Linked DNA regions of Styela clava. The main gene of each other region encodes a partner of the protein of the gene in region 2 in a complex. Links are inferred from orthologs where the notes say so. Each region holds a gene or a part of one and is shown on either strand. Other genes may lie near its edges.

Region 1 (11,831 bases), on a different chromosome or scaffold from region 2:
CCAAAATCAAATTGTGTTTTTATATAACACCTACCCACGTCTTTTGCTCCGAACACGGACATGTATAAGCAACCGCTTAAGGACTAATTTTGGAGGGATCTGTCTCGGACAAATAAAAAAAGTCCATAAAAAATGAACAATACCTTTCCTCGAAACAGATGTTTATTATGGTAGATTGAATTTCTGTAGGTCAATGTTCTAACTTCATCTTTCAACATTTCCTCGTGAATTCCAAAATGAGCATAGGAGTCGAAATAATAATCTTTTGACGTCATTTTTTCTGGAGCAATCTTTCCAACAGATTCTTCTCCCTCTGGTTCTTTTGCTGGGAGACCATCTTGCTTGGCAACCTTCGATAAAAATGTTTGTTGAAAATCTCAACTATTGACCCACATTAGCAACAGAGTAAGATTATTGCATAGATAGGATTTTTGAATTTGCTCCCAGGTGAGAAAAGTCAATAAAACAAAAAACTCTGGTCAGGCTACCATTCTATTTCAGGTCAGAGAGAGAAAGAGATTTATTGCCACAAAACAAAGTCAACACTATTATAAACATAATACAATAACTAAAATACTTCAGCAGTAATTGAATATTGCTTTGTGTGGGTCGGTGTGCGGGACCGATTAAAGTCATCAAGGCTTGACACTTGTGTATATGCTGTATATAAGACTATCATGGCATTGGATGCGAATAAGATTAAATATAAATAAGATAAAATGAGTGAATGAGTCAGCAATTTAATGGTATTATGAAAGTTATTAAAGGCAATTTAGGTTGAAGGGTATATTTTTTCGTTAATGGTCAGTTCTCTCATTCCAAGAATAGGCCCCAAATCAAACCACGTCCATTATAATGGTGAGCACGAACCCCTCATTTACGAGCCAATATGTGTCTTCATATCGACTCAAAACGTCACACTTGCACTACGCAGTAAACTGAAAAAAAGCGCAATCCAAAAACGTCACTATTGGATTCCATGAAAAAATAATCTAACTTACTGAAGGAAAATTTTTTTCTGGTAGCATTCGAGAGTTTCTCGTAAAAACGTAATTTGCGTCATGTGACTGCCGACACGCGTTTCGATTAAGACAAGCTTGGCCAGATAACATAGTTTCAGAGACAAATAGAGTGTTAAACCAACGTTGGGACATCTTGGAATAGGATAACTGTGCCCAGCTGATGGTCATCAGTTTCCGATATGAAAGACTGAAAGAGTTTGACTAAATAGATCGGACCTCAAGTTGCTAAATGTTAAAAATAATTACCAATCAGTTTGGGAATCGAATTATTAAGCTCAAGCAACACACTGCCAATTGCTGGATTTTCCTGTCTGTTGACAGGTTCGAATCATTATTCGCCAGTATGTAAACAAAAGTATGAAAAATGCCCGAACTACAACAAAATGTCAATGTCAAAATGTACTAATCATATCTAATGCAGAATTGTCAGGCAGTTCGCATTACCGCAGGCAGGGTGGCTTCTTCTACACTCAGACACTGACCAACCATTATTGGACATATTATTTGATACAGTATTTCTCCAATCCAACCCAAACGAAAAACAGGGGTTTGTCATTACAGCATTAACTTATTACCTAGTGTACGGTAAACTACCGTAGTATATTAGAAGTATGTTAAATCTCCTACCTTAGTGGCCGGCTCCAGTGTTGCTACAGGTGATATTTCTTGTGGTATACACTCCATTTTTTGTGAAAACGCGAAGAAAAGATATCTATTAAATACAATACTGGCTAAGAAACGTAGACAGGTGCACGATAAACAACGAGAAATAAGGAAATTGAGGTCCAGACTGTGACGCACGTGTGAAACAACCACTAGGAGCGGTATAGAACAGCTTTAGTGAATCCTGAAATATGTTAACGACGAAAGAAATAATTAAAAATTATATAATAGTAATGAATCACAAAATTGCTTGCAACAATTGTAGATTTTGGACGATACTATAACATTTATGAAGGCCTAATATTTATCAAGAGAGAGAGAGAGAGAGATTCGATTTCGACAAACAACGTTAAAAAGCAGTAGAAGAATATTGCCAAAATATTTTGACAAATACTAATGTCTTATCGTTTTTATGGTAAATCTGTTACATAGCTAGAAAATACGAAATATATAAAAAATAAACATGTTCAATATGAATATGTTGACGCTATCGGCCAAGCTACAATGCCACGGAGACTATATATTTCGAGCAATTTTTTAATTGGCAACACGTTTTTATTTTAATATATATTCAGATTCTGTGTTTTTTTAAACTTCGTGCTCTTCCATACCGAACTGCCTTTCCTCAGTTGATTCACGGTATATTACGTTGATCGTCGAATCAAAATTAACCAGATTTCATATCAGTTTTTATATGCTTATACCAACCATTTTTTTGCCTGGTATTCTGATTATGATCAAAATAAAAGTTATAAAAACTGCCTTGGTGGTGGTCTGAAACAAACCTGTATCATTGAACTGTTTAATCTACAGACCTGAAATTACGACTAGAAGCGTAACTGATAAAAGTCAGGCCCTCACTAGAATGCATTGCACGTCAGTGAGAAAATCAATATAAAAATGGAGCCTAAAACTATCCTCATTCACTCACTTTATCTGATCTGGTTGTCAGGCTGCCCGTACTACGAAAGATTTTATACGCTTTGAAACACACCATGTTTGCAACCTCAATAGGCACTTACGATATTTTTATACCCCTTCCCCCCAGTTACAAAACACTATGTGAAAGTGAAGCTATCATTCTGGAATGACAAGAAAGTACACATAAAAAAAAATCTGGTTTAATATGAAAAAAAATATGTAAAAAAGAAGCTTCAATCTCCCAATCAGAAATATTTGGTTGATTGTTTTTCTTTAAAATTACCCAGGATTGTAGCTTATTGCATAGGCTACCTAAAATGATGAAATATTATTTCATAATATTCATACATCACAAATTGAAAATATTCCATTCCACTTGTGAAACTTTTTGCACAGAAAGAAAAAATTCAATAAACTATCCAAAAACATCCATTCCGAATGTCAAGCAGACACCCTTTCTGAATTATCGCTTGAACAAAGCCTGTGTTCAGAGCAAACTCATTAACAGAATGATTGCAAAGAAATTTGTAGAATGCAAAACCAAAGCAATTGGTTTGAAAAAATAAATGACAACGAATTCATTACAGAATGGACTTTCAGAATTGGTTTTGGCATCTCCTTTCACTCTGAAGTTAGATTTTTTTAAATTTCTTTGAATTTGTGTATTTATAGTTCATTTTTTCAGTATGGCGAAGAAATAAATTACTGATTTCACATTTAACTATGAGGGAAGTAAAGCGGATAAAATGGCCTAATTATATATTCTGCCATCCAGTTACCATTCCATGTCAGGCATATATTTAGTTAACGAGTAATTCGATTCAGATTCACGAGCTTTCATGCACACGTCAAAACGATAGTTGAATTTCATCAGAGATTAGGCATTTAGACAGCTAAGGCAGGTGGTTAGAGTAGAAATATAAAGGGGCTTCATGATAAAATATAAGCCAAACAGGTTTCTCTCAAAAAAAGTAAAATCTACCATTGAGTTAAAGTTCCTATGATATAAATTCTGTTTTTTGTTTGGATGAATTTGCTCCAAGTAATTGAGTAAATAAGTAACTTAGTAATAAATAAGATTGATAACTGAGCAAAATTACAATGGCAGACTAAAGTGCTTTGGTCAATTTCCACTTATTTCTGACTGGGATTCTTTATTATTCAAGATCTTCGGGTTTAACAGGTTCTTTGAGCGGAATGATTGATTTTTTGAAAATGTCACGGCTGAGTGCTTTTCTCATATCAAAAGCGTCTTCATCTCTATCGCCTCCAGGTGATGAATAATATCCAATAACAGTTCGATAGACTGAATAGCCCAGACGTTTGTACATCCCAACAGCAATCTGAATAAAATAAATGTTAAATGAGAACTATGGACTGTCACTCTAAATATGGATATAGTAATATTTCTGAGCGCCAAAGCACAAAAAATTGACACCACACAAATATCTCCATTTAGCAAGCATGAGCTTACTGTAATCAATGTTCTTTTAATGGCACAATTTTTATAAAAAATCCATAAAATTTGGATTAAATTTGCAAACAACCCTTTCTGGGAGTCATTTTTATCTCAAACTACTTCAATAGAATGAAGATCAACAGTCACAATTTAACAAAGCGTTCAGGGGGAGAGGTAGCCAGTTTGATCGTATGGCAAACCACAGTCACTCGTCCGGTTACCATTCCATGTTGGGTATCGAATTAGTTCGCCAGTTATAGAGGAAATCGAAACCGACCAGCAGTTACATGGACAAGAAGTCCAGCAATCCTCTCACATATAATTATCCCCAACCACACCACAAAACGGGATTCGAATGTGCAAACTTGTGCTATAGCGATGATATGCCAACTGTCGCGAAATTGAGAAACATAGGGTGTCCAGAAAGTCTTAAGAATTTTTAAATCTGCAAAGGAAATTTATCGATACCATATATTGTTCTGGCCCTCACAGATGTATTAAATGAAGTGAAAATACTTTACAATTACTGACTAAGAAACAACAAACCTGATTGAGATATATTGAGAACTGACTACATAACAACAAAATTGAAATTATAAAGGGAGTTTATGGACAACCTGTATTTCGTGAAAACTTTCTATCATACCTCATTTGACTTCCTTACAAATAGATCCACGAAATATCCTTGTTTCTGCTCTGAAACTTCCTCCAGTCTTCGCATTAACTCTGCTGCTAGTCCGAGACGCCTGTACTCTGGCGCCACGGTTACTGCTGTCACATGACCATGCCATTCTTCAGGCTGACGCCCTTCGACCTTGAGAAGGAAGTAACATGAATATAAAGTCCATGAATCAGAAACAACTACCTCATATCTATTCCCATACCTGACATGGAATGGTAACCAGACAAGAGGCCCGAGTCCACCATATGATTAAGACATTTTATTGTTTTCCTATCACATATGATAAATATAAAAATCCTATCCTATGTTGAAAGTTATGATTTCAAACATAGAATTTTATGTTTGAACTTGAAACTATCGAAATCAAGTTTATTCACATAATCAGACAAGGATGGCAAAAATTCATCAGTTGTTAATGTTCGATAAAGTGTTTTGTTGATTTTAGAATTTCAAAATTGGTCATTTGAGAATTCAAGATATGATCCTCACATAAAGTAAGCTCCATTTACTGACACTGTAAAAATTAATCAAAACAACATTTATTTCAACTACTTTGCATTGATGTATTCAAGATCATTGAATGTTAAATGACTTGAGTATCTTAATTGTCGAAACTGACCCGATTTTCGATTAAAGAGTTAGATTAAACAAATTGAAAATTATTGCGATCAGAAAATTCTTTTTTCACAAATTCAGATAATCAAATGATTCCAACCTTTCCCATAATATATCCCATAGTTTCTCCAGATGGTGATTCTGCAATTGTAAAAAACTCTGGCCATTTTGCAAGATATTGAAGATAAAATGAAAGTCCGTAAGTTTCTGTCAAAGGATCAAGGTTCACATTGTTGAATTTCAAAAGGTCAAAGCAGGTGAAAGGTCGGTAGAAGGTCATCCTATATAATATTCTACGCTGTACAAAAAGAGAGAAAAGTTTTACTGATTTATTTTGTATTATGGGATTGGCCACCTAATCACTTAGAAATAAGCGAGACATTAATAATATAAGTATTGCCAATGATTATTTTTAAACCAAAGTGAGCTATACAATTATGGAGCATGAATTTTCAAGTTATCACCGGGAGACGGAGGCTATCAACAGGCTTAAACTTATAGTATACAAACCGGCATCTCCTTACGATTACCGTACCAGTCCAGGTGACATATTGGATAGTTCACCAGTTATTTGTTTCAGGGGAATGGACTTGATAATAAAATAGGGTGAATCCAAAAATTCTTCCACATTAAATTATTCCTTACCGGATTTGAACTGTTAAATATTCAGTGCTAGAGGAAGAGTGCTCCTTACACTTAGCATGATAAGCTAAGCTGATTCATATTAGCACTGTTTCGAAAAATTTGTAAAGGACGATAGGCCATGCTGCCATGGTATACATATTATTAATTAAGCAGTGTACCGTATATAAGTATATTTTGATTTTCTCGCAAAAAACAGTGTTATTGTCTTTCCTCTCCTCGGGATGAATACTGGTATGTAAATTCTATCCTATCAAATCATATTACAGTAATAACAATATTGGCACCATACAAATCAAAGAACAGGATCTGTGAAGAAAGTGCTCAGACCTGTGGCTCGGCGGTGTCGTCAGACTGGATTCCATGGCAGATGCACGCCCGAGGGCGCTAGCGCTCCACAAAAATGCACGCGAGCGAATTCAATTTTGCACGCCGAAAATTTGCAATTGCTCACCAATGTAAATCGGTTTAAATAGTTTTTAAATCAATAATCTAGTAATATAAAGATGCCAAAAAATTATAACTTTACAATTGTCGACTAATACTTGCTTGCAAGATTTGGCCTGATCGAAAAATGCGAAGCAAAAATCACCATATCGTGTTGAATGATAGGAATCCCGTGAGAAAAATCGCCTCCTCACCGACGCTGGCCAGTTATGGCTCTGATTCAGCGTATTTTTAATACAATAATTTTACACGGATGTACTGAACAGTACCGTACCGGTATCTAAAGTCGCACAAACACTCGGATGTATTGAGAGGTATCTTAGGTCGAAATCAGTTTAGCGGGCGCAGTTGTTTTGCACGCCGTGAGCTATAATTGCACGCCAGAAATTCTTATTTGCACGCGGGAATTTCTGATTGCACGCCCGATTTCTCGTTCGAAAAGGCCATGAAATCCAGACACCGGGTGTGGCGCATCGGCATCGTGCTAAGCGTTAGAAATACGCTCGCCACTGCATCTCTGATTACCCTTCGTGGGATCGCAGGTTTGAATCCCATGCGTGGATGATCATGTGCAAGAGAATTGCTGGACTCCTCGTCGCCATAGGGTGGTTCACGTACCGGTAACCGCTGGTCGGTTACGGCTTCCTCCACCATCAAGTCCATGCTTCCGAAAACAAATAACTGGCTAACTAATCCCATACCTGACCTGGTAATCGGACGAGAGGCAGTGGTTCGCCATATGATTAAGCTGTCTTATCGACTTTTTTCTCCCCCGGGATAAACGTGTAAATCCTATCCTAGGCTATCCTCACAATACAGTACCGGTACCGGTAACATAAGTCTGCTAGTACCGGTACCGGTATTACAATATTATGAGGTACCGGTACCGTACAAAATGTACTGGTACCGGTACCGGTATCAAATACATTCAGGATAGGGATAGAGTTATCTGCAATGTTTGGCATCTGGAAAAATGAAACTGGTTACAGGTATCGCTATCGGTAACATAAAGTAAAACCAAATCAAAAAATAAATCAACGCAACATTTTGCCTATCCCAACTTTTGTTCATTATTGAAAAATCGTATTGCACTGTACCGGTACCGGTGGCGTGCCTGCAGACCTTTGGTCGGTCGGTTTCAGCTTCCCCCGCCATCAAGCTTGTGCATCTGAAACAAATACCGTAACTGCCTAACTAATCCTATACCCAAAATGGACCGGTAACCGGACGTGACTCAAACCTGCGAATCCGTGCAAAGAACGCGAAGGTCCGATGGTGAGCATAATTCGGATCAAACACAATTTCTATAACAGGCACCATAATTGTGCCCCGCGTCCCAATGAAACATATAGCCTAAAAACAAAAACACGGAAGATTGGCAAAATCAGTGCCACAAATAGGTATAAATATTGTGGTCCTATGCCGTCTTATCCCTTTCCTCTCCCCCGGGATAAATATGTAAATCCTTTCCCATCCTATTTTTTTGGTTGTACTATGTAGAGTTCAAGATGAATTATCTTTAATGGGATATGATTTACATATTAATCCCGGGGGAGAGGAAAGCCGATAACGCAGATTAACGGCCTCACGTCCGGTAACCTGTTTGATAACCAACAATAATTTTTTTCACGCCACCCTTCATCATAAAATGCCTTTTTTTTATGTTTTTTCCACAGTTTTTGTCAAGTGTATGCTCATTTAAGTGGAAAATAAACTACCGGTACTGAATGACTACCTTTCCATGCCGGATACGGGGTTAATTAACCAGTTATTTGTTCCCGGAAGCATGTACTTGATGGTGGAGAAAACCGTAACCGACCAGCGGTCACGTCACCCACCCGACGGCGACGAGGAGTTCAGCAATCCTCTCGCACATAACTATCTCTGTATGGGATTCGAACCTGCGAACACATGCAAGAGTAGTCAGAGACGAGCGTATTCCTAATGCTTAGTACGATGAGCCACACCGCCGTAATAGATGATTCAGATTACAGAGTGATGGGATTTCAAAAGTTTAGGAACGGGTTCTTTTCCATATCGAACTCACTAACAAAACAAAACCATGCACAATTTCGGGTTTGCTGATCATTACGACATTCCAAGGATTCACGCAAACCTACTGGATTCCACCGCTGCCTATTCTATATGTAGCATAATATACAAACATGCAGCCCCAGTACGTATAAATTTCTAGTGATAACGTGGACTCATGTCGTCCGGGCGTGCAAATTTTGTGATGAAACATACTGGGTGGGTGATGGGTTTTAAGGTACAATGATATGGTGAAAGAGGCCAACACTGACAAGCGAATTATTCATCATCCTGAGACCGCGATCAATTTTCTCGCCCACATTCAGTCTTCTGGACCAAATATGCTGGCGTATACGATGTTAGGCATATAGTTCAAAATTCGCAACGGACCACCACGAGACACCCAGTAAAACTGAAACGCTCATTGCGTAATAGTCTATTTAAGTCTAAAATTCCTTCGCAGTAAAAGTATAAAATACTTAATAACATAGTTATGGCAGAGGAAATCCCATTCATTGTGATTAATTTATATTATACGATAACTGATGTCATTATGTTCTTTCAATTTCGTCTGCGTGAGAACTTGCCACCTGGCAGAGAGTGACGTAAAACAAACCGTTTGTTATAAACGGCCATGCATGGTGTAATGTAAATTATCGTAGAATGTTGTTTGACATCCCTTGTATCAATTTCTCATACTGTAAATATATTTGCGTGTAATATTGATGTAGGTGTTTATTTAAAAACTAGTGAAAATTTCGCCAGTATATCAGACTCTAATTGAGGTCTATTGAATTCAACTGAAGCAAGCTTACTTTTGATTAGGTAACCAACGAACGAGTAGCGGATGAAATATTCCCGATTTTTTACAGTCACGACAAAATATTTGCGCATTTTACCTGTTATTCTATGAGCGTGAATTTTTTTTTCTGGCGGATCCCTATTAAATAACACAACTGGATAAACAGAATAGAGTGGATCGAGTAGGGTACTAGCACATATTTAACAAAGTTACTACGTCGGCTAAATTGGAGCAACATGTTTCCATCGAAGTTTATTTGCTGGACTGTATTGTGTTTCTTATCTGTCAGAAATGGAGGTAAGGATCCAGTATACTTGAATAAGGCTATGTCGTTTGTATGATGTTCATTTTGATACAGGTGAGGATCGGCGCAGTGTAATCGACTATTTCACCGTTTTCTTAGTTCTTTCCCAAACTTTTCATATTAAAAGAAGAAGGCGAGAAGTTCTAAAGTTGTCATGAGATAGACCAGTGGTTTTCAAACTGGGGGTAATTCGACATTCTTAGGGGGTAATTCATACGTTAACCGTCTTAAAAAATCTCTTGTGTAAGCCCCGTACTTTTTACTGGTCTGCGGAAAAGCTGGATGTTCGCATCTGGTATATGAGCATTATTACGTCTTAATGCATTCGGTAACGCGGTTAGCAGAGACCTAATACCAAAGCTTCATTTTTGATTAAATTTCATTCAACTTATTACCGTGATTATAATTTTATTTTTATGGAAGAGGTAATTGAGCTTTTAGTTATTCGATTTAGGGGTAACGATATTAAAAAGTTTGGGAACCACTGAGATAGACAATGATATCAGAACCCTTGGGTTAAATTTTTGCACAGCTTTAAGTAAAGGAATAAGATTTAGTTACAATTGAAAGAACATCTTGAAACAACAAATTATCGCACCACCAGCTGTGATAGATTTGCGATTCGTTGCTACCGGATCTACTCGCAGTGAAATAAGGCACGAAGCAATCGATATATTTTATGTAAGCAAAAAACTATACCAGTTATGCTAGGGATATTAAAGTGTTTGGATTGAAGGTTCACTGTGAAAATAGAAAAATCACTGAACTGTGCATTCCCGCCTCCATGGCCGGGGCAGAACAATTTTACTGACAGCGTTTTACTAAACATCAGAATATAGTTTGAACTCTTATATTTTTATCTGTCTTTTCGGTAATAAAAACACTGTTGACTTTTGAGTCGTTTTGCTGAATAATTCTTGTGGGTGTTGCTGTTTGATCTGAGTCCCGTCGATAATTCAAAACAAACTTTGCTGATATTTTTATATGTTATAGTTCACGTTTAAAACTTCAACATTTTTTCTTCAAATAATCCAGTTGAATCGAGAATTCTCGCCCATCTTTCCCCGGTAAAACCTCCATATCACATCAGTAAAATAGTTTCAAAATTTGACAATTTTGCTCAAATTGCTGTCGCCATGTGAGTTACCTGACCATCGCGTCCAAATATTTTATCATTTCTCTCCTGTTTTTAGAATGCGACAAGATCGTTGGTGGATACGAAGCCAGACCTCATTCAGCTCCGTATATCGCACATCTTGATCGGTATTCGTCATATTTCTGCTGCGGAACTCTGATTCACGAGTCGTGGGTTTTATCGGCTGCACATTGTCATTACGAGTAAGTAGTATTGAAATATGTGACTAATAAAGACTACAATACCAAGTAGTTTGCCAATACATGGTTGTACCCGTAAAAATTGAAGAAGGTTATACGTTTACTTTTGTTCTCATTTGCTCAATAGTGGCACACTCACATAAAAATATTTTTGCGCACATTATACGAAAAACTTTTCTGAAATTTATCAGCAGGTCATTCAATACCAGGGATGTCCAATACCGAATAATTCACTATTTTGAATACATTCGAAGATAAAATCAATCAGTTTACCACACATGTCACGTCTGCAGATTGCCGTCGTATTTTAGAGCAGTAATGCTTCAATTTTTACGTGAGTCGACGCAACCATGACTTACACACGTTAAACACAATTAAATTAATACCGAAAGGCATTTTAAATGCTGGTATCGTTCTGGGATTTGAATATTTTGTCGCAACAGAAAAAAACAAAAAACAAAAAAAAAGTCGATATTTTTCAACTATCATTATCAAAATCATTTGCCTAAAAGCGGGAAATAGTATAAATTATTTTTCCATAAGTAATCGGCAGTTTACCACACATTTTATGTCCGCAGATTTCTCTAGTATTCTAGTAGTAGTGCTTTCATTTTATCGTAAGTCGACGCACGCGAAGGCGAGTTATGATGAACACCATTGAATTAATATCAAATACATTTTAAAAGCTCGCATCGGCCATGTATTAAATATTTCACACAACAGAAAATCGTTATTCACTGACAAAGTCGGCTATTTTAACGAATGCCGTAATTGCGACGCTTTTTTTAGAAGCCGTTGCACGGGAATTTTCGATTCCGATTCTTGACCCCCTCCGCTTATAATAATCCTGGCTACAGCCCTGGAAAGATTATTCAACGATTTTATCAACGGCTAATCAGTTATTCGTT
Region 2 (11,855 bases):
AAGTTTTACGAGACTTACTTGCATGCTTTCCTTCCAAAACTTCCAAACACTTTTCATGTTTTTCCAACATTTCTAGGACTATTAGATACAGTCGGACTTCTAAAAAAATATGAAAAATTTTTTTAACAAAATAAATCCAGACCCCATCAGCCAAAAAATTTGTAAATATTTTTAATTCTTAATCCTAAACAATAGCTTCCCTGAACTCATTTTGTATAGTCGTTTTGCGAATTATTTTACTCGTCAACCAATACGCCCTTATTAAACTTCCCTAATGGCTTTTCAGGAGAGTATGTTTGTATTCTAACAAGCGAGAAGTCAGTAAAAGGACATTTCAATACATTTTCAGATAAGCCAGTCATGATCGAAAATTTGTAGTAAACAAAACTTTTAAGCAGTTTAGTAAAATTCTTTCTAGTAAGAGATTGAAATTCATCTTTCAACAATAGCATAAATTTGGAACCCTAATTTGCATAATTCGTGGCCGATTTCCAGACACTTTCAACACCATAATTTTTCAAATAAATACACCAGTCAATGGTTCAAGATTTGTAGAAAATAAAATTGATGTTTTTTTACCAGTTATTGGACACGTAGTGGACATAACGATCGTTTCAAAATTTTGTTGTTATTGTTATTATTATTTGTCTCCATCATTTTAAAAAAAATTGCTTTTCTCTTCGAATACTGGACCAATTGCTTGAAAATTTTCAGTGGTTAGTTTGATTTTTTCTCCAGAAGGCTATTACTTTTATTCATTTTAAATATTTCTGTTAGCTCTGTGAGATTTGTTTTTGTTTGCTATGACGTCATTAAACGTTCTGCGGACATCGGACGCCATTTTGTGTCCTACTGTACTACTTCGCTTGGTGTGAATATATTTGTAGACTGTGATCTGACGGTACGGTAAACCGTACTGTACTGCGAACAGACGTGTCCATATATTTGGGCGTAGCTCTCTTGTTTTACAAGGTAAAGCCAACAAGCGAAAGCGAAGGAGGAAATGCTCTATGACAAAACAATTGAACAAATCAAATTCAATTTACTTCACTAATCCCGAATGGTGAAGTAAAGGTATTTTCTTATGGCCTTGAGAAAACCACAGAGGCACATTTTAAATAATCCGGTCTAAACAGATTATTTAGACACCCCTACAACAAACAAACGAAATGAACGTACCCGCTTCGGCCTCTATTTTTCCTTTCTCAATATGTTTTTCAATCATTCTTTCTGCAAGGGGCAAGAACATCATCTTCCCAAGTTTTTCATCATTGATGGCCTGCATTACTATCGCCATGATGCCCCAGAATAAATAAGGATTCTTAGGATGATGTTTGTAAAGTAAAATGGCAACCTGAACAATATATAAAAGATAGTTTTAGGTAAAAACTAAATACATACTCGCAAAAATCAACAATGGGAATCTTAAACATAAAGGGGGGATGTTGACTTTGATGACCGCCTGTTCGTATCACTCCCCCGTCTATACCAAACTTAATTTATTACTTGTTGGACACTTAGTGGACATAACGATCGTTTCAATATTATGTTGTTGTTGTCCTTGTTGTTCTTTGACACTTTTTGGACACCTAGTGGAAAATCTAAAAATTCGCTTTTCTCTTCGATTACTGGACCAATTGCTTTGGAATTTTCAGTAGTTGAAGATAGAATTTTTCCCCAGAAGGCTATTACTTTTATTTATTTCAAATATTTCTGTTAGCTCTGTGAGATTTGTTTTTGTTTGGTATGACGTTACTGAACGTTCTGCGAACATCAAACGCCATTTTGTGTCCTACTGTACTGCTTCGCTTGGTGTGAATATATTTGTAGACTGTGATCTGACGGCACAGTAAACCGTAATGTACTGCGAACAGACGAGTCCATATATTTGAGCGTAGCTCTCTTGTTTTTTTATTATCACGATGACTGTAGTTATATTTTGGTTGACGGAAAAACAAAATCTCTCTCTCCCGCCTATATTATAAACCAAGTGCAGCCAAGAACACAAGGAAAGGGGGGTTATTTAAGTGTTAAACTTGGCTATGTTGGCGTCACAGCCTAAAGTCTTAGTTTCAATCCCATGCCCAGCACTTCACCTCAGTGTCAAACCAGAAAGATCCTGGTCGTTTCGAATTTGTATCATTGCCCGCCTGAACAGAACCTTGCTCAGAGTAAAAAAGGAGCACAGAAAGCGTCTTTATCAAGCTTTACTTTTCCATAAATTTCTAGCTTGATTTTATGTTGAAGAAAAACTCACTCACCCTTTGCATATCCTTTGGTTTCTCCGTTCTCACATAAGACATGAATAAATGTGTGAGATATTCTTCGTTCCCGACACATTTTGAAACTGCAGACTCATAAATGGGAGGAATTAAGTCATCTGTAAAAGAAGAAGAATTTATGATAACTGACAGCTTTTGGGGTACTCTCAAAGAATGTGAACCGAACCGTTGTTTATGTACCAGGTTAGGGTTTTTCCGGTACAAATACTACAGGAGTCACTTGGCTAGTCCCTGAACTCGTAATATATCCAAAGTAAGAAAAATTGGAATAAAATTATGGCCTAACCCTAACCTAGTACACATACTACGTTCCGGTGTCCGCCATCTTGATTCACGGGAGTAGTAATTTTGGTGCACAATTCACATATTACATGATTTAGAATCCCAGTATGAATAACTCCAAACTAAACGTCTTTTAGATAAAAAGCCATATAGAGTGTGGATATATATGGGTATCCTACAGTTGTATTTTCAAGCTAATTTCGTTTTCCACTATTATAAATAAATCAACATTGGAGCAACATTTTATATATAAGGCAGAGTACAGCTGTTTCTCTGAATAAGAGTTTGAGATCGCAACATTTGCTCCAACATGCAAAGTTAATCCCTAATCGATCAACGATATATTCAAGGTTTGAATTCTGTGGCAAATAAGTATATAAGAGTATTGGTGGTCCCCATGCAATATTCCACATATTTATATACCACCAACTTTCTATACCATCGAAGTCATCCATCAACATAACCCCCCAAAATGTAGAAATAATACTCACGTCTGTGTGTCTCTCTATAATACAGGCTCAGCCCTTGCAAACTGTTTTCATCTGTCGGACCCAGAGCTGCAACTTCTTGTGATAATGCAAAAGCCTCATCTCTGCGTCCAAGACGATTCAGCGCAATGACTTTCAAAACCTGAAAAAATAAAATGAATCAGTAAAAATGGGGGAGATTGTGTCACTTAGCAAAGAAGTATATGCACATTGAAAAAAGGCAAACAATATAGATTCAATAAACAACGTCAAACAGCTACTCCAGTAGTGTTTTTGTTCGCCTACTTTACATCAAGTTGTGTAAAGGGACAGAAACCTATGGACAGGGGTTATATTCACTTGGCTAACACAGACAGTCCCCGAACTCGTAAGAGAACTAAAATAAGGAAAACCGGAATTAAATTATGGCCTAACCCTACCCTGGTACACATACTACTGTACTATGGGAGTACAACGCCGCTCAATCCAACCATCTAAGACTGTTTCACCCGGCAAATGAGATGTCAAGATGTACTGGTTTGTCTGTCGAGGACGGTTTGACAAGAATAAAGACGAAGGACAAATCATGAGAGAGTTGGATGAAATACAAGATATAAAAGCTAACCTTGGCTGCTGATAAATCTTTTTGTTTCTTTAGAACTTTTTCTGCTTCATGAAGAGCTGATTTGTTGTTTCCAATGTCAAGATGTTCTGGAAATATGGTGATAAAGTCACAAATAAAATAGAATTACTGATAGAAGTAATCTATGTCTAAGTAAGATTAACATTGGTCAGTATGGTTCTCCAATATTTTATGCTTTTTCTACGTTTTTTCATGTTTCAAACCTTATCTAAGGTTTTGTGTTTTGTTTGCTCCCCTGATTTCATAATCAGTTTTGATTTATTTGTTTTTATCAATTATTTTATTGCCAGTTATGTTGATTATGGAGTCGAAATAAACCTATGCTTATACTCATTAATTAAAGTCATCGATGCACAACTTCAGAACTTGAGGCTGTTGTCACTGCACTTAGAATAGAGTGTCATATTTAGGTATAAGTTTATTTCAACTTCATAATCAGCATAATAGACGATAAAACAATTGCTAAAAACAAATAAATAAAACTGAATATAGAATCGGGAGAGCAAACGAAACCTCAAGTAAGGTTTGAAGCGTACAGATTTTCGATGAAAATGTATTGATGAAGGAAGAAGTATGTGTTCGCTCGCCCAAAAGTATTAAAACTAATTAAAGCACGCAGACACACGATCACAAAGACATAATAAGATCAGAAGAGAAAAAAACGAGACATAAATTCTACTACTCAGTAAAAAGAAAAATATACAAACAAATAAAAATTAAATAAAAATCCCCGCCACATTTTATCTCATGAAAGAGGAAAGGTGATTAGCAGCTCATCATGTGCCCAAACCATGGTTGTCCAGTTACCAGTCCACAGTTAGTTGATGAATTAACAATTCCTTCCGTAATTCTGTACCGTACTTTATTTCCTAACTAAAATATTATTGTATTTGAATATTCAGAAAATAAGGTAGCTTATACAGGTGCAGATAGTTAGTCAAATACATAACATATTTTTATAATTACAAATATATTTATCACTAATAATGTGATATCTAATCAAGCATAACATTTCCCTCCCTCCCTCTTTTGAAATCCCCCCCCCCCCCCCCCCCCACTAAAACGAAAAGCTGGGGCACTGTCCTAAGTAGTAAAGACCTTACCTTGTAAGTTCTATATATCAGTGCTACTTGAAATTATGCCCCATTTATAGTATATGGATAAAGTTTCAAAACCGTAACTTCTTACCGTAAACGGGTCTCAAACGGCGTTCATTTACAGATCCAAGGGAGACCGCGGTCGCCTGGCTTGCCATCTTCCCATTTGAAAAGCATTGAGCTACCCGAGTATACAGTTGCCAGATATCTCTGTGCATAATACCAAAAAAACGGCTGTGCTGTACTCAAGTTCTTTTCGAAATCGTTTTTGATCGACTATTATCAGTTTGATGTTAAATTGAAATTAGTGTTTTATTTTTTATTATGTTATTAAATATATTAATTTTTAAAAATACTATGCAAAACAGCGTAATATTTTGTTCGTGTAGTTTGTTTCTTTTTTTTTTTTCAATCAAGGACTTCAAAATCTGGCATGCAGAAAATCGCTTCCTCGTGTTTGAATAGGCATCTTCAACCAAGTAAGGGCCAAATTTTAATCTTAAGCAATTCCGCGTAGGCGTAATGTACGTTATTATAGTACAAACCACAATGGAGGGTTCTTATTTGCTAGCTTCACATCAATAAATGCGGCGTCAGTTGTAAAATATCCTGCAATATCATAGCCTGAAACAAGGCACTGTACACACGGGGCACGGGGCCAATGATTTCCCTACATATATGGGGTCAACTTCAAAATTCAAATTCATTTACTTACTATTTAAAATCGGCACTTCAGACATAATATTTAAAAAAAAATTTATATAGCGTTCAATCATTCCCTTTCATTACCACTAGGTCAGGGCTACTCAACCGGCGGACCGTGGTCCGAATCCGGACCGTTCGAGTATTTGATTCGGACCGCACCTAATTCTTTATTTTAGATCATTAGCCTCACTTTTGAAGTTTCCTTTTATAAAATGACTTTTATAGTTTTGAATATATATGAAAAGAACTATAACACCATAATAAGCAATTTTGATTAGCTAATAATCATTAGCCGGTCGAGGAAGTGTGCGTTCAAGGATGCCGAAATATAAATTCTGGAAAGACCAGACCCAAATAATTTTGAAGTTCGGTATGCGGATTTTCGGTAAAAATAGTTGAGTAGCCCTGCACTAGCTAGTTACCAAACCCACCCTGGGCAAAGAGTTCACGGTTACTGTCACAAATAGCTCTCGATCCTTTACAATATTTAAATTACATACGGATATCGTGCGCCCAGCGTAACCTGCGTCAATAGACGTATGTCGTTACTCAGATAAATCGTTATTGTTCATAGGCCAATTTCCGCCATATATAATATAGGTATATATAATATATAAATTCCGGAGGCAGTATTGCTGTTACTACAAATACTGGCGTGAATAAAACCCATTTATGGGACCTCCTGAAGTATGCGCACCAAGATGGCGCACAACCTGAACTGAGGTTGTATACCAGGTTAGGGTTCAGGTTGTGCGATATCTTGGTGCGCATACTCCAGGAGTACCCATTTATGACCGTGTTTTACCTACTATATTGATGAGCGTCTTACTGGTTTTCCCCTCGTCTGCTTGAAATATGACAAATGCTCGGTGGTCGCGCATCATTTCTCTGCGCGGGTTCGCAGGTTCGATTCCTGTGGAGGATGGATAATCATGTGCAACAGGATTTCTGGACTTGCGCCGCCGTTTGGTGGTTCACGTGATGGCTGGTCGGTTACGGCTTCTTCCATCGAAAAGTCCATGCATCTGAAACAAATAACTGGCTAACTAATCTCATAATTGACATGGACTGGCAGCCGTGGTTTGCCATATCATCAAGGCGTCTTTACGTAAATACGTAAATACGTAAAACCCTATAACATAACCTTTACGTTTCAATTGCTTCACAATGCAAGTCAACTTTACCATTCTTCCAAATAGTATCAGTCAGACTTACTTCTCAACGTTATTCCAGCCCTGGGGCGATATAACCAGTAATAGCAACGTATAAGATAATCGGAAATTCTTTTAGTGTTTGTAAACCGATCCTAAGGCGAGGCGTTAGCTGTATGAAAACACTTAGCTTAGTGCGAACGTTCAGTGGTTCAGTGATTCTTAAACTTTTTAAGCCGCGCCCCCTTTTTAGAATTTGTCAAGTCGCGCACCCCACCTCAAAAATAACTAGCTAACAATAAACTACAAATAACAGATAGTGAGTCGAAAATATGTTTTATTTAAAAACAGGTTGCGTGGATGAAATCGCAATCTCTGAACAATAAAGAAAATGTAAATATCCAAATTAAGGCGAGCAAGATCAAATCTAACAAGTGTTTAGCTTTAAAATGTCTACGTCTCCCTTGTGGGTCGCGCCCAGCCGTTTGAGAATTACTGGTTTTGTTGTTTTTATTGAGCAACGCGTGCAGTGGAAATCCAAGGCCAGGATTAACTATTTCTCTATGCTAGTGATCCACAACCTTCCTCGTTAAATTCCCTTTCTTCGCCTATTTGGGGAATGTTATTTCTTCCTCTCTATATATAACGGCTAGTCGGCTACTTTATTTATTCAATATTCAACGGATCCGTAGCTAATTATGTGGGCCCGTTGGCAATTATAACTATTATTTGAATTTGCGTAGTATTACGCTTGTATCTATCTATATTATACTAAACGTGAAAATGGCATTTCAAGGTGAAGTAGATGCGAAAAAAAGGTTCCATTACATCTGAACCCACGACAATTGCACCTGCATACTATCGCACCTATGAAAAAAAAATTTGTTTTACGGATATTTGAACCCATACTAACCCTAACCCATGGGTTTTAGAACCCGCGTATAGATTGAACCCGCGGATATACACATGGGTTCAAATGTACGGTCACCGAAAAAAAACTATCGTATGGAAGTGACACCAAAGTTTAGGAGAGGATTTATTTCACTTATTCCATGGGGAGAAACCACGCGGACTATATATATATTAATTCTTGATTATTCGAAGAACCACGGACTCTGGTTTAAATGCCATTCTAGATGGAATATCGGAATAGTTGACCAGATATTCCTTCCAGATGCATTATTATCGTGCATATACGAGGTATGGCTAAAAAGAAACGGGACTGACGTCACAGATTGCGCAACACGATCAACCATCGGTAATCAACACTTTTGCAGTGTGGCGTAATATGTGTTCTTTGTTTAGCAGCTGTTTTGACACAATATCGCAATTATTTTTGCTTTTCAGGATACATAAGTGAATGTGATATATTTCTTGCTGAAAAAAAATGATGCTGTGCGAGGTCTGATGGAAATTTTTGGCGATGGGGGGTTCAATTAAAGAATGACGACTGAGCAAAGAATTAACATTAAATTTTGTGTCTCGTAGATAAGTAAAAACTAGAATCGTAGAGAAATATAAAGTCGACGAAGTTGAACCTAACTTAATTGCTAAGCTAATTTGCTTACCTATATCTCTTCATGCAAGAGTGTCTCTTCATCCGGGTTTCTGTTTTTTCACCCCCGGAAACGTTTCCCTTCGATATTCCAAATCAGTAGATAACAGGCTACTATGTCTTCAATTTGAAAAATAATCAGTCAATCTCATTTCAACATTTGCCGATGCCCTGGACTAAAACAAATCTATAATTAATAATTATCTATATATAATTATAATTAATTTTAATACGTTGAATATTTTTCAGTTTCTATCTTAGTTTTTGGAACCGCCTTGGCGCGGGATCGGCAGAAATGCAAGCGAAAGAAAAATGTTTGAAGACGACATGCATAGTATTGCAGATTATATGCTTTGTAAGTTTATGTTTTTGCTTAGATTTATTAATTTTTTACATTTGTTTTCAAACTTTTTTAGTGGAACAGAATCCCAATGAAACATTATAGCGGCTCGAGTACCCCCTGTGCAATTGTTTACTTGTCTTTTATTGTCTGAATTGTATAAACTATGTATAAAAGCAAATTCAATACAGATAAAACAAAATGATGTTTCAGGTTTAGTAAGTTTAATAACAGCGGCAAACCCAATAGGTATTTGAACAATATACATATATACAGTGGTGAAATTCAAATTTTTTGTCAGCCGGTTTCTTCACAAAGGCATATTTTTCAGCCGGTTCTGTTACAAACAGAACATTGACAGTAACCAGTAATGCTAACCGGTTCGCCGATCTCATAAAATTTCGAGAGACGGTTCTATAGAACCGGTGCGCACCGGCTGAATCCCATCACTGCATATATATATTAATTAGACTCTTAGTGTTTGAACGGAAATCCGCGAAATCACATAGACAGCATTGTCGGAATCCTTGGTTGCCGCGGAACCCATGAAAACTACTGATCTAAATTGAACGAGTTGCATTTAAGGTTTATGAATATGAAAAGGGTTTGTGTTACAAAGAAACGGTAATCCTGATGGACTATAATAACAGCCAATCGACTATAAGAAATAAAAACCCCGATCTGTTTAGTATTTCTTGACATTTTTCGTTTTCGCATGTCTTTAAAAATATTAGCCGATTCTCGCAGTCCGTTCTAGAATTACTGAAAAAGAGTATTGTTTTTATAATGTAAATAGCGGAACCTTTGCGTAATTTTTAACTCATGTATCTGACACTAAAATAACACCATACAATAATCGAATTGATATAACATTAGCAAATAACAAGTAAATTACAATAATACCCTCAGGAGAGGTACAGTAGGCTTTGTGAGTTGTTTTTTTAATTTACCAAATTGGAATAGGGTTCATATCGCACAGGAAGGAAAAATCAGAAGAATGATCATACAAACCAGCTGTAAGTAAAGGAAAATGCAAACCTAACACCCTCGGTTTATCGCTTATTTTACACCCCTTTTAAATAATCAAATGACTTGAATCGTTTAAGTCTTGTGATAGCCAATGTCCATTGAATATCCAATTCGCGAGAAAAATTTTATATATTGGTTTCAGCGTGCCAGTATTTTTTTATCCCGCTTTTAGTTGTGATTCAAATATCACTAAGGTAAAATTGTTCTAAAAAATTTGCTCAAAGCATGATCGCGCAAACGCACACAGGAGTAAAAGAAATCCACCTCTGAGAAATGTTACGAGCGACTGCTAAAGTGCTGAGTGTTACTGACGTCACGTTCACTCACTCAGAAATAAAGAAGACTCGTCCTCGAGCAAAGTTACGGGTCTCGTTCGCTTCTGAGTGAGTACTCGTAACTTTTCTGAGAGATGAGCCTCGTTTACTTTTGATTGAGTGCACCCGTAACTTTGCTTAGAGACGAGTCTCCTTTCCTTTTAAGTGACCTTGCTTTGAGTAAACTTGCTATTAAAAATTACTTTTTTCTTACAGATCGCCGGAGCTGTTGTACTCGGCCTTGGCATCTGGGCTATCCACGATGACAGCCTGACGAAGCTGATCGATAAAGTTATGTTCGCTGGAATGTACGTTCTCATTGTAGCCGGTGCGGTGATCATTTTGACGACGATTTTGGCTTTTGTAGCGATTTGGAAAAAGAGCAAACCCATGGTTGTGATCGTAAGTAGCCTAATCTTGTTTGAAATATAATATTTGTCGATTACTTTATGACAAAGCGTCGCCATAATTCTTTTATAATTAGCATTTCAGTCGAAAGGTCTTTAGTCTTATCAATTCCACGTGTCTTTTACAGTACTGCATTATTGCTCTCATAGCAATATTCCTGAAGGTTGTGGCTTGCATCATTATTTTTGACTATTTCGTGACCGCTCATTGGTCGTTAGTCGACTCATACAAGGAAGAATATGGGGTCAAAAACGAGGTCACGGACATCTGGGACGAGATTCAGAGCAAGGTACAAAATTTAACATTATTTTTATTCACTTTGGACGATGCATGGAATTTTATATTTTTTCTCGTTGAACGGGCAATTTCTTGGGATAATAGGTCTTCTCAGTATATATATAGTACAAAATAAATACGACATTATCATAAAATACCAACATTTTATAAAAAAAAACTTTGGTGTCAGATCGCGGTTTTATTATTTAATGGTGATTATGACTGGCGTAATTTTGTGCACCAGGAATATGATATTACGCGTTGGGTGTTCAAATGCTTCTAACAGTTCTAGCAGCGGGAGTATTCTAAAACAAAATGTATAATTCTGGGATTTGTTTGTCAGATCGCGGTTCATAAAAACCTTAATTTGAAATCATAAATTCATTTTCGTCGTGTGAAAAACATCACAGGGTGGCCTGTTGGAAAAAGCGCTGGACTTGGGAAATTATCAGACCGGCGTAAGGCCACTGCAAGTTATGCGTGTGCAATGTGCCTCTTTAATTAAAATGCGCTAATTCTAGATGTAAATTATTGAATTTAACAATGATAACTTATTGTCATGTATATGTTAGCTTTTTCTTATTTGTATACGTAGGAGGTGGTAAAATAAAAATATTTTAATCCAGATTTCGATATATATTAGTTAAAATGTATAAATGGAAAAACGCCTACAACGGCAAATAACTAAGATATCGGTACGATTGAATTGTTCCGAATATATACAAGTCTAAACTGTGACAATGATATAATAAATGGCAATATCTAGAACGCAAAAAGGCAAAAACATAAAGCGTTGAACAATTTCACTTAATTTCAAGCCATCAAGTCGTTACGCAGTCTGTAATTGGCCCGCGGGTACGATGGTAAACATTTCAAGTCGATGAGGATTTTTTTCCATTTTTCCAGGGCGAATGTTGTGGCCTTCTGAAATATTGGGATTGGGAGGAGTCAAAATTTTATGCGGATAACGACGAGAAATACCCGGAATCGTGTTGCAAATTGGTCGCCGAAGGAGAATACCCGATACATAAAGGGCATTGTCAGGTTGGACGAGATGGATACATACACATTGAGGTAATTCCGAATATAGAGCTGCAGTGGTAATGTAACATGCACATGCAGCCAAAATATACATATACAACCAATTCACGGAGTCCTCTTTTGTTGTAGTTGAAACGCGAGATTACTGGGCATACGAGGCTGGCATGCCTTGGCTTATTTATTCATACGAGGTTGGCGTGCCTTGGCGTATTTATTCATACGAGGTTGGTATGCCTTGACGTATTTATTGTTTTTTCAAAGTAAC

Evidence for each region.
Region 1: the proteins of N-alpha-acetyltransferase 25, NatB auxiliary subunit-like (region 2) and N-alpha-acetyltransferase 20-like are in contact, whole or in part, in a cryo-EM structure (PDB 7STX), measured with the Homo sapiens proteins. The link is inferred for Styela clava from reciprocal best matches to the Homo sapiens genes NAA25 and NAA20. Residues at the interface, in NP_079229.2 of Homo sapiens: Ser226, Glu227, Ile228, Asn259, Asp261, Asp262, Trp263, Gln264, Arg318, Arg321, Leu325, Lys362, Pro363, Cys364, Thr367, Asp368, Val371, Leu457, Thr459, Glu460, Leu461, Ser504, Ala506, Leu510, Leu532, Asp533, Lys535, His536, Ile537, Gln538; in NP_057184.1 of Homo sapiens: Thr2, Thr3, Leu4, Arg5, Thr8, Cys9, Asp10, Leu12, Phe13, Phe15, Asn16, Asn19, Leu20, Pro22, Leu23, Thr26, Tyr27, Gly28, Ile29, Pro30, Leu33, Gln34, Leu36, Ala37, His38, Pro40, Glu41, Pro49, Glu52, Met54.

What each region holds. Positions count from the first base shown.
Region 1 is NC_135250.1:1,477,597-1,489,427, reverse strand, and holds N-alpha-acetyltransferase 20-like, read right to left. Parts: upstream 5,678-11,831; 5' UTR 5,643-5,677; coding exon 5,463-5,642; intron 4,880-5,462; coding exon 4,712-4,879; intron 3,950-4,711; coding exon 3,764-3,949; 3' UTR 2,749-3,763; downstream 1-2,748. Other genes in the region: protein arginine N-methyltransferase 1-like, read right to left, coding at 144-350, 1,650-1,706; trypsin-3-like, read left to right, coding at 9,521-9,581, 10,782-10,926. UniProt on the Homo sapiens protein: Catalytic subunit of the NatB complex which catalyzes acetylation of the N-terminal methionine residues of peptides beginning with Met-Asp, Met-Glu, Met-Asn and Met-Gln. Proteins with cell cycle functions are overrepresented in the pool of NatB substrates.
Region 2 is NC_135264.1:17,435,494-17,447,348, reverse strand, and holds the start of N-alpha-acetyltransferase 25, NatB auxiliary subunit-like, read right to left. Parts: upstream 4,968-11,855; 5' UTR 4,930-4,967; coding exon 4,863-4,929; intron 3,743-4,862; coding exon 3,657-3,742; intron 3,195-3,656; coding exon 3,056-3,194; intron 2,381-3,055; coding exon 2,262-2,380; intron 1,355-2,261; coding exon 1,180-1,354; intron 100-1,179; coding exon 19-99; intron 1-18. Other genes in the region: tetraspanin-18B-like, read left to right, coding at 8,478-8,537, 10,082-10,267, 10,401-10,562, 11,456-11,623. UniProt on the Homo sapiens protein: Non-catalytic subunit of the NatB complex which catalyzes acetylation of the N-terminal methionine residues of peptides beginning with Met-Asp, Met-Glu, Met-Asn and Met-Gln. May play a role in normal cell-cycle progression.